Linked DNA regions of Daphnia pulex. The main gene of each other region encodes a partner of the protein of the gene in region 2 in a complex. Links are inferred from orthologs where the notes say so. Each region holds a gene or a part of one and is shown on either strand. Other genes may lie near its edges.

What was found.
Region 1: the proteins of myosin heavy chain, muscle-like (region 2) and myosin light chain 1-like are in contact, whole or in part, in a crystal structure (PDB 5W1A), measured with the Drosophila melanogaster proteins. The link is inferred for Daphnia pulex from reciprocal best matches to the Drosophila melanogaster genes Mhc and Mlc1. Residues at the interface, in NP_723999.1 of Drosophila melanogaster: Arg25, Ile26, Ser29, Asp718, Lys720, Met721, Arg722, Gln724, Ile725, Pro728, Arg776, Leu780, Gly781, Ile783, Met784, Ser785, Trp786, Met787, Gln788, Ala789, Trp790, Ala791, Arg792, Gly793, Tyr794, Leu795, Ser796, Arg797, Lys798, Phe800; in NP_001287569.1 of Drosophila melanogaster: Phe14, Val15, Val18, Met19, Asp33, Arg36, Ala37, Asn39, Leu40, Asn41, Pro42, Thr43, Leu44, Glu78, Gln79, Gly80, Cys81, Asp84, Phe85, Glu87, Cys88, Leu89, Lys90, Leu91, Tyr92, Asp93, Lys94, Glu96, Ala103, Glu104.

The regions. Positions count from the first base shown.
Region 1 is NC_060024.1:12,182,012-12,185,930, forward strand, and holds myosin light chain 1-like, read right to left. Parts: upstream 2,554-3,919; 5' UTR 2,422-2,553; coding exon 2,419-2,421; intron 2,304-2,418; coding exon 2,279-2,303; intron 1,502-2,278; coding exon 1,361-1,501; intron 1,278-1,360; coding exon 1,110-1,277; intron 1,029-1,109; coding exon 942-1,028; intron 566-941; coding exon 516-565; 3' UTR 431-515; downstream 1-430.
Region 2 is NC_060026.1:1,464,633-1,468,523, forward strand, and holds the start of myosin heavy chain, muscle-like, read right to left. Parts: upstream 2,809-3,891; 5' UTR 2,660-2,808; intron 2,303-2,659; 5' UTR 2,135-2,302; coding exon 1,934-2,134; intron 1,752-1,933; coding exon 1,605-1,751; intron 1,409-1,604; coding exon of another isoform or gene 1,265-1,408; intron 492-1,264; coding exon 335-491; intron 1-334. UniProt on the Drosophila melanogaster protein: Muscle contraction.

The DNA.
Region 1 (3,919 bases), on a different chromosome or scaffold from region 2:
TGGTTGTGACAAGAAGAAATTTTTGCGGTTTTTCACGGTTGGGTGTGGGTGTTGTTGATGTTGATGTTTATTCCGCGTCCGGGAAAGGACCAGCAATCATTTTCTCCAAGAAAGCTGTAAAAACCCCAAGGGAAATGATTAGAGCACCTCAATTGAAATAGAATTCGTAGACATGTAGAGAGCTCAAGCAGATAAGCGTTGAGAAAGTAATAAGCCATTTATAGCGTAATGCGAACAGCGTAAAGATGAGTTCCGGTTATCGTAATGAACCGACCACTTCGGTCTCGTTACAAATGAAACAGTTTCTGCTGTTGAAATGACTATACGGAATCTTAATGACTAATAGTGATGGAAGCGCATGCATAGTTGCGGCGGTTAGGTGAAGGAGCAGCAGACGTGAATTGAATTGCACGACTTAGAGGATGACCACAAACCTGATGGATGTGTAACTGTTTGCGTTTTTTTGTTTTTTTTTGTTGAAGGGTAGGGTTGAAGAGGCGTAACACTTAAATATCTTATTGCTGACTGTCGGGGTAGGGTCCGGCCAAAAGTCGGTTAAGAAACGCTATGGCAAAGAAGACAAAGGGTATATGATCGTAACGTTTTATACGATATGTCGATTGGTCGTGCAAAAATTTCTGTTTCAGCCTTCAGCGTATCGTCACTATATAACGACGAGTTGACGGCTGAGGATGTGAGGCTGTTGTGACTCTATTCTGACTTGCGGGTTGGTCATTCAACAACGAGGTTTTTGACAACCCGTTTTAAACACTCACTCATACTGTAGGTATAAGTTGTATAATCACTAATCCACGCATCAATATTGTAATAACGAAGTACTATGAAAACTCGTCAAAAATTAAATTTCAAATTTGAAATTATTTAAAAGATCTCAGGATGTATAATTGTGTGTGTAAGGTGCTCGAATGGGAATAACTCACGTTTGTAGGGGATCAAGCCATCCTCATCCTCGGGGTCGCAGCAGGCAGCCATGATGTCATCGACTTCCTTCTCTTCGAGGCGCTCGCCTAGTTGAATAGCAAACGCGATAGTCAAATATTTCCGCCAATTTCAAAATGAAAAAGTTGATTTATCCCAGGTAAATATACCCAAAGCCATGAGGATGTGTTGGAGCTCTGCGAAAACCATGGTTCCGTTGTCGGACTTGTCGTAGAGTTTCATGCACTCAATGAAATCTTCAATGGTGCCTTGATCCTTTTCTTTCTTGATCTGGCAGAAGATGGGCAAGAATTCGTCAGCCTTGATCTTCTTCTCTCCTGTTGGATGAATGCGACATTTTAAAAATAACGTGTAAAGTAAACAGGAAATAATAATAAAAACAAAACAAAAACAAACATACCCTTCTTCTTTGTGCCACCCATTTTCTCGATTTGAGCCAAGGTGGGGTTTAGGTTAAGAGCTCGGAGGCAGTCTCCCAAGTAGAACATGTCCATAGTCTCATTACCCTCAAAATCGTAGATGGAGAAGGCGAATTTCCCCCCTGTTAATCAATCGAAACAATTAGATTTGTAGAATAAACAATTAATAACGTCCGTGTTTCTCTAAAGCGTCGATAGGGGAGAGCGATAACATTCTAAATCGGTTGCGATCGTTGAAATTCATCACCAGTAAAGAATTTGAAAGGAACGTTGGAATTGGCAATGGCAATATGTGGCAGCTGAAAATCGGGAAAAGAAATAAAACTGGAACGTCACGGAGTAATAGGGTGATATGGTCGTCTCACAATCGCATTTCTGGTGTAAGCAGCTAAACAGCAATAGCTCAGGAGCGTCGAGTAAGAGTAGAAGAAGAAGGCGTGTAAAAATAGATTGTGCAGACGGAATTCGGTCGACTCATCTATACGTGTGTATACTTCCCTTTCGCTCCCGCCACCCAACCACCACCCCGAACCACCCTCAAGTTCCTGTAGTGTAGTAACCTAATTCCTCCCGGCCAGTCCCTCTCCCTCGACTAAACTTAGCATCCCGTCCCAATCGGTGCCAAAGCAAACGCCAAGTCCTACACACTCCAATCCACACTGCGTATGTGTATAGGCTCTAAGCACACGGAACTGTTCTCGGCACCGAATGATGATGACCATACTTGGACACGCTTCCGTTTCCCGTATATGTAGGTTAGAAAACCCTTTCACTGGGAGGAGCATTTAGCACACAACTCTATTAAACTAAAAAGCTCGTGTTACAATTAACCGCATTGTTTTTTTTTCTTTCTTTGCACTACTAAGGTAAACAGATGAGGTTTGAAAAAGGAAACTTACTTTCAATGTCGCGAGCACTCAGATCCTGCCATCGAAGAAAGAAGGCAAAGATGATTAAAAGGCTTCGTCAAATCAAATGTGAATATGAAATTTGCTTTGGGGTTTTTTTTAAAAAAAAGTTGGGGGTAATAGTGTCTCACCATTTCTGCTGCTGGGGTTTTGTAAGGCTGAAGGAAGGAATCACAATCGAAATCCACAAAACGCGGGCACCGGAGAGACTAAGGCAATCGGGCAACATGTACCCGGCTCTTTTATACCCGCAACTAGAGGGCCTTCCAATCGATCCCGCCTCCCTCTGATCCTCCTCGTTTGCTTGTTTTTTTTTTTCCTTTTTTTCTTTTTTAAAAAATGTCTTCTTCTTTCGTGCAGCACCTCCCTTTTTTTCTCTTCTATTCGTCTCTAAAAGTCGCACACTTCCTTAACTGACATTGCATATTTAGGTCAATGCTAATTTCTGCTTCTCTCTCTCGTTCTCTATCTTTACTTGTGCTATTCGTAAGTTGGCAGTACCAACTCATGTCCCGTTACTGTCCTATCAGGCACATTATACGCTCTGCATGTGTACCCGATTAATAATCGACTTGTTATCCGTACAATACCTCGATCGAATGACTCATACGAATGACCATATGGCGATGATTTTTATTTTTAAGTCTCCCCGTGACTTTATTTTGATTTGAATTCATTCGGGCGGTTAGTTTAGAAATGTGGTCAGACGCAAAATATCGCGGACCGATCGACAACGTTCAAAAAAGGGTAGAAAATAAACAAGGAAAAAGAAACAGAAATCGGACGCTAGACGGTAGAGAGAGAGAGGAAAAGATTGTAAGGCAAAGTTTTCGTTCGTTTTTTTCTTTTCCATTTCTTTCTCTCTCTCGTTCTTCGCTGCGCAGGCGATTTAATTTTAGTTCCAGCTAGAGGAGTCGAATGGACAAGTTGAGCTACTGCGGAAGCTTTTTGGCAACGCCTCTGTCGGTGACGGGAGACCATATACTGGGAAACTAGGCGGCGGCGGGTGGTGGTGGTGGTGGTGGAACGTCGGGGGAGCAAGAGAGTAAACGGAGGTTTTTCTTGCTCAGCATACGGGACAAAGATAGGACCCACTACCGTCACGTTCTTGTGTATCTTCGACCCATGGTTGGACTTGTCCTTCTCTCCCCTGCTTGCCTCTCTCTCTCTCTCTTTCTTAGCTGCTCCAGTGTCTAGCAACAACAAAATTCTCTTCAACATCGGCGGCTATTTTAGCCCGCCTGTACGGAGCCGCCGCCGAACCGGACATTCACTCGTATATGTTACGCCGGTACCCACATCGGGAACCATCAGCGCGTTGGCATGCCTTCAAATCAGCATCGGGTTGAGAAACACGAACCAACCAAATCTCCTTTGAGGTTCCGAATAAGCGAATTAACCAAATGATTTCAGACGACGAAATTACAAATTTTTCCTGGATTTCCAGGACAAAGTTCTGAAGTGACTCGCGGCTCTCTGGCGTTACTACGTACCGATTCATTCCAAATATAACCCTACGCGGGCAGAACAATATCCAATCACAGCCACGCATCGAGCAACCGAGCGCGGACGTTGCGGGAACGCAGAGAAAAAAAAGTCCAATAGGTTTCAGAGTCGTTTCCCTGTATGGAC
Region 2 (3,891 bases):
ATATATCCCATTTACTCTCTACACAAGAGCCAGCAGCCCTGCTGCAGGGCTCAAAACCCTTGAGGCTTATTGGCTCCAGCTCCTGGATTCTTTTTGCTATAGCTCATCTCTTCCAGTCCGGGTCCGGAAATAGCACTACTACTACTGTATGGGTATTAGGAGCAACTGGTTAGACCCGTCTATCGGACCAAGTTTGGTCTGACGACCAAACTCTGGCTGCCGATTGGTGGGAGCTGCATAGAGCCCAAGGATTCTTTTTTTTTTCCTTTTACTGGTGGGTGGGTGGAAGGATTTTTATTCAGGATTTTTGCACGCTTAGAGAGAAACAACTTACTGGTCAACATGTCCATGTAGGCACCGTCTGAGATGCAGAAAATGTGGGGAGGGACTTCGTTACGTCGCTTGCCGATGTACATCTTGATGACACGTTGGGTGTAGATCGGGAAACGCTTGTAAGGGTTGATAGCCACGCAGAAGAGACCGGAGTAGGTCTGTTGTTGTTATTTCATCGGAATCAAAATAATCAACTCATTAGCATGTGTCCTCACTTTTCTTTTTTTTTTCTGCTCGTGGTGTTGTTGTCCATTCAAACAACAACAACAACAACACCAAACCGAAGAAGAAAAACAACCAAAAACAACCACACAACACTCAGCAGCAGAACAAGGGAAAAAATGATGTCAAACCAAAAAGAAATAAAAGCGGAGAAAAGGAATAATAAATATGAAAATAAGAAGAAACAAATTTTCTAATTGGGCATTTCTGGCGAATAACGGGGTTCGGCAGAGAGCTCGTCTTTGAGGCTTCTGGATCCGTCAACACTCGAAATCAAACACGCACACACGACAGAGACAGAGTATATGAAAAAGGTAGAGGGTGGCAAATTCACACTGTCCTAAATTTGAAAATAGGACGAATAATCAAGTCTAAAAACGGACGAGGGAGGATGTCGACCCAAGATGATGATCGATTTTGGGGATGGAGGATCTATCATAGAGAGTGGTGTCAGTTGGGATTAGATTTGAATATGAAATTAGGTTATTAAAAGGTAGTGTGTAGACATGCAATCAAAATAGGCCTACCAATTCCCTTTTGGTTGTGGGAGTTGACAAAGAATATCACAGCAAACGAGGGATAGAACATCAGAGATAGGGGCTCCTAACTACAGCTGGAGCTGATAATATGAGGTGATTTTGGATGCATGGTTTGTTTGTTTGGCAGGGAGGTAAAAAAGGTTATAAGGTTAACTCCACAAGGCACTTACGTAGATAAGCTGGTTGGTATAACGGGCTTTCAAGTTCCATAGCACAGAGGCATCGTTAAGGTAGGTCAAGTTGGACATGTCCTCGCATTTCTCGTATTTGGGGGGGTTCACTTGACTGCACTGATCTTTCTTAAAGGTTTTCTCCTGTTATTTTTGTAATATTTGGTCGTTTTTTGGGCGGTTGGAAATACGGAGGGAATCGATTGGAGGAATTCCGGATAATTTGGAGGACCATCGGGAGGATCGAATTTTTGTTTTGTGGTGGGAAATGATTGGGAGGAAAGAAAAACGAAACAAAAAAGAAATTGATTAGTAGATTCCAGTTCTCGTTTCGACTTACATAAATCAGTTTGTGGTAGTAGCGCTGCCTTAGATTGTGCAAGACGGCCGCATCGTTCAGGTAAGTCAAATCTGCCATGTCTTCCACTTTCTCGAATTTCGGCGGATTGACCGGAAAGCACTGGTCTTTCTTGACCATCTTTTCGTTCTATTTAGTTTAGTACCCACCCCAAAAGAAATAAAAACAGCAGCGCAATGGCCAAATTTTAATTCCAAAATTTCAAAATCATTACTACTCTTCAACCCCCCCATCAAATTTTTAATTTCCAAATGTTTATAAACTGGACTCTTTGATTTGAAAGAATTGATAACAAGTTGTGTTCTACTTACGCCATCAGCAACCTTGACGACGACCAGGTCACCTTTGGTTCCAGTGATCTCACCGAGTTGGTAGCTGTCCTTCTCGCATGGGACCCAGGTGGCCTTCTTACCATCGTAGGGCTTGGTTTGATCAGCACGTTTCATTTCCAGGGAAACGAAGAGGTATTGGGCTGGGTCGGGATCGGGTCCCATATCCTTCTTGGGAGGCATCTTGTTGTTTCGAGTTGTTGATCAACGACGACGACGACAAAAAATCAAACAAGTTGATGAGAGAGAGGAGAGAGAGACGGTTGAAATTCGTGTGGGATTCGGATTGGCGGATCTCCTTCACACACGGCGGCGGGACAACACGCGTTAGAACAGCCCTGGAGCGCTTTCCTGTGTGCAAAACAACAACAACAACATCAGCCAATGTGAGCAACAACAATTAAAAAAGGACTGTCGATTGTGTTCTTATTTAAAATTATCAAAATCCACATCCGAGTTGTCACAACTTTGTGTAGGCTGGGCTTATCTAATCAAGGGGCACTTTTAAAGGCTATTAGGCAAAAATTGAATCAAAAACTGTGGGAAGTGAAGAAAAATTTACAAACAAAATTGTTTCGTCTACTAAAATCGAAAATTGTCAAAAGCCAAAAAAACTAAAAGTTTGAAAACAAAATGTTACAAATTTTGTCTTTCGAATTTGCAATAGGTAGGTAGGTAGGAGAGGCAAATCCTCGTGTGCACACTTACGTTCGAAAGCTGTTCAACTGTCTGTCTAAAGCGAACCAGGGCTCCTATTTAAACCCTAAAGGCGACTCCGCCCTCTTCTAGCTTATTGGTTATTCTGAATTTTTTCTTTTCTTTTTCAACATCCTTTACTTCCTTTTCTTCTTTCTTCTTCTTCTTCCTCTTCTTCTTCTTCCTTTTCAATTCCTTGTGACGGCCGGGGCTCAAGTATTTCGAGCCGAGAGCCAAAAGGGCCAAAAAGGCGAATGAACGGACATGGGAGAGAGAGGAGAAGGTAGAACTTGCACACACGTCTCAAAGGCAGGCCCATGCCTTTTTAAGGTGGCCCTCCCCCGTATATTCAGCGCGCACAGCTTCTCTCTTATATTTCTCGATATTCTTTCTTCTGTCGCTTTCATTCCCTTTCGTTCGTTTTTTTTTTCCCGCAGCCGCGCAACAAGGACAGAGGAGCCGTGAGCGATGGAATGCGGGCGTGCTGCACACAAGGCGCTTCTTCCCCTCTCTCGCTCACGCCGAGCAAAAACAAAAATCGAACGCGCAAGAAGAAGCACAAACACACAGAGAGAAATGGGTGAAAAGCTTTTTTTGGCACGAACCGAAAACACCCAAAAGGCTGAGCAGCTCTCCGCAGTGTCAATCTTTTCACTCTATAGAGCTTTTATATAATATTATTAAGCTGTTACGTAATCTAATCCTCCTCCCCATTACACCTATAAATGCTGTAATGGTTTTGATAGCGATCAATCGCCACATCGGAGGGTTGATTCTATTTCATCTTCATTCCGCATATAAAACTACTACCCAATTACGTAATGCGGTGCTAATGGACGAGCGATAGGCGTTGTCCACCTCTTTTTGAAATCACGCCCGAAAATCATCGACAGGATTTTGATATGAAAATCGGGAAGTAAAAAAGAAAAATAATTAAAATAAACAAAAGAAACTTCCCCGTGAAAGGAACTGGGGCATCTATACGTTTCGAGTTCCGTGCGGCGAACGCGGGTCTTTTTATAGACATAAGGTGACGGAATAAGACCTGCCGAAACCTACACGCTCCGGCAGCTGCTGCTGGAGCGTGTGCTGTGTACATTTCCTTAATATGATTTGCTTAGATCGTTCACAAACGCGGGGGATCGACTTATATTTATGTGAGGTGGAATCACTTTCAAATTGTTAATTCCATCAACTCTAAAAATCCTTTTATTTGTAGGAAACTATTCGTGATCCTGCATAGT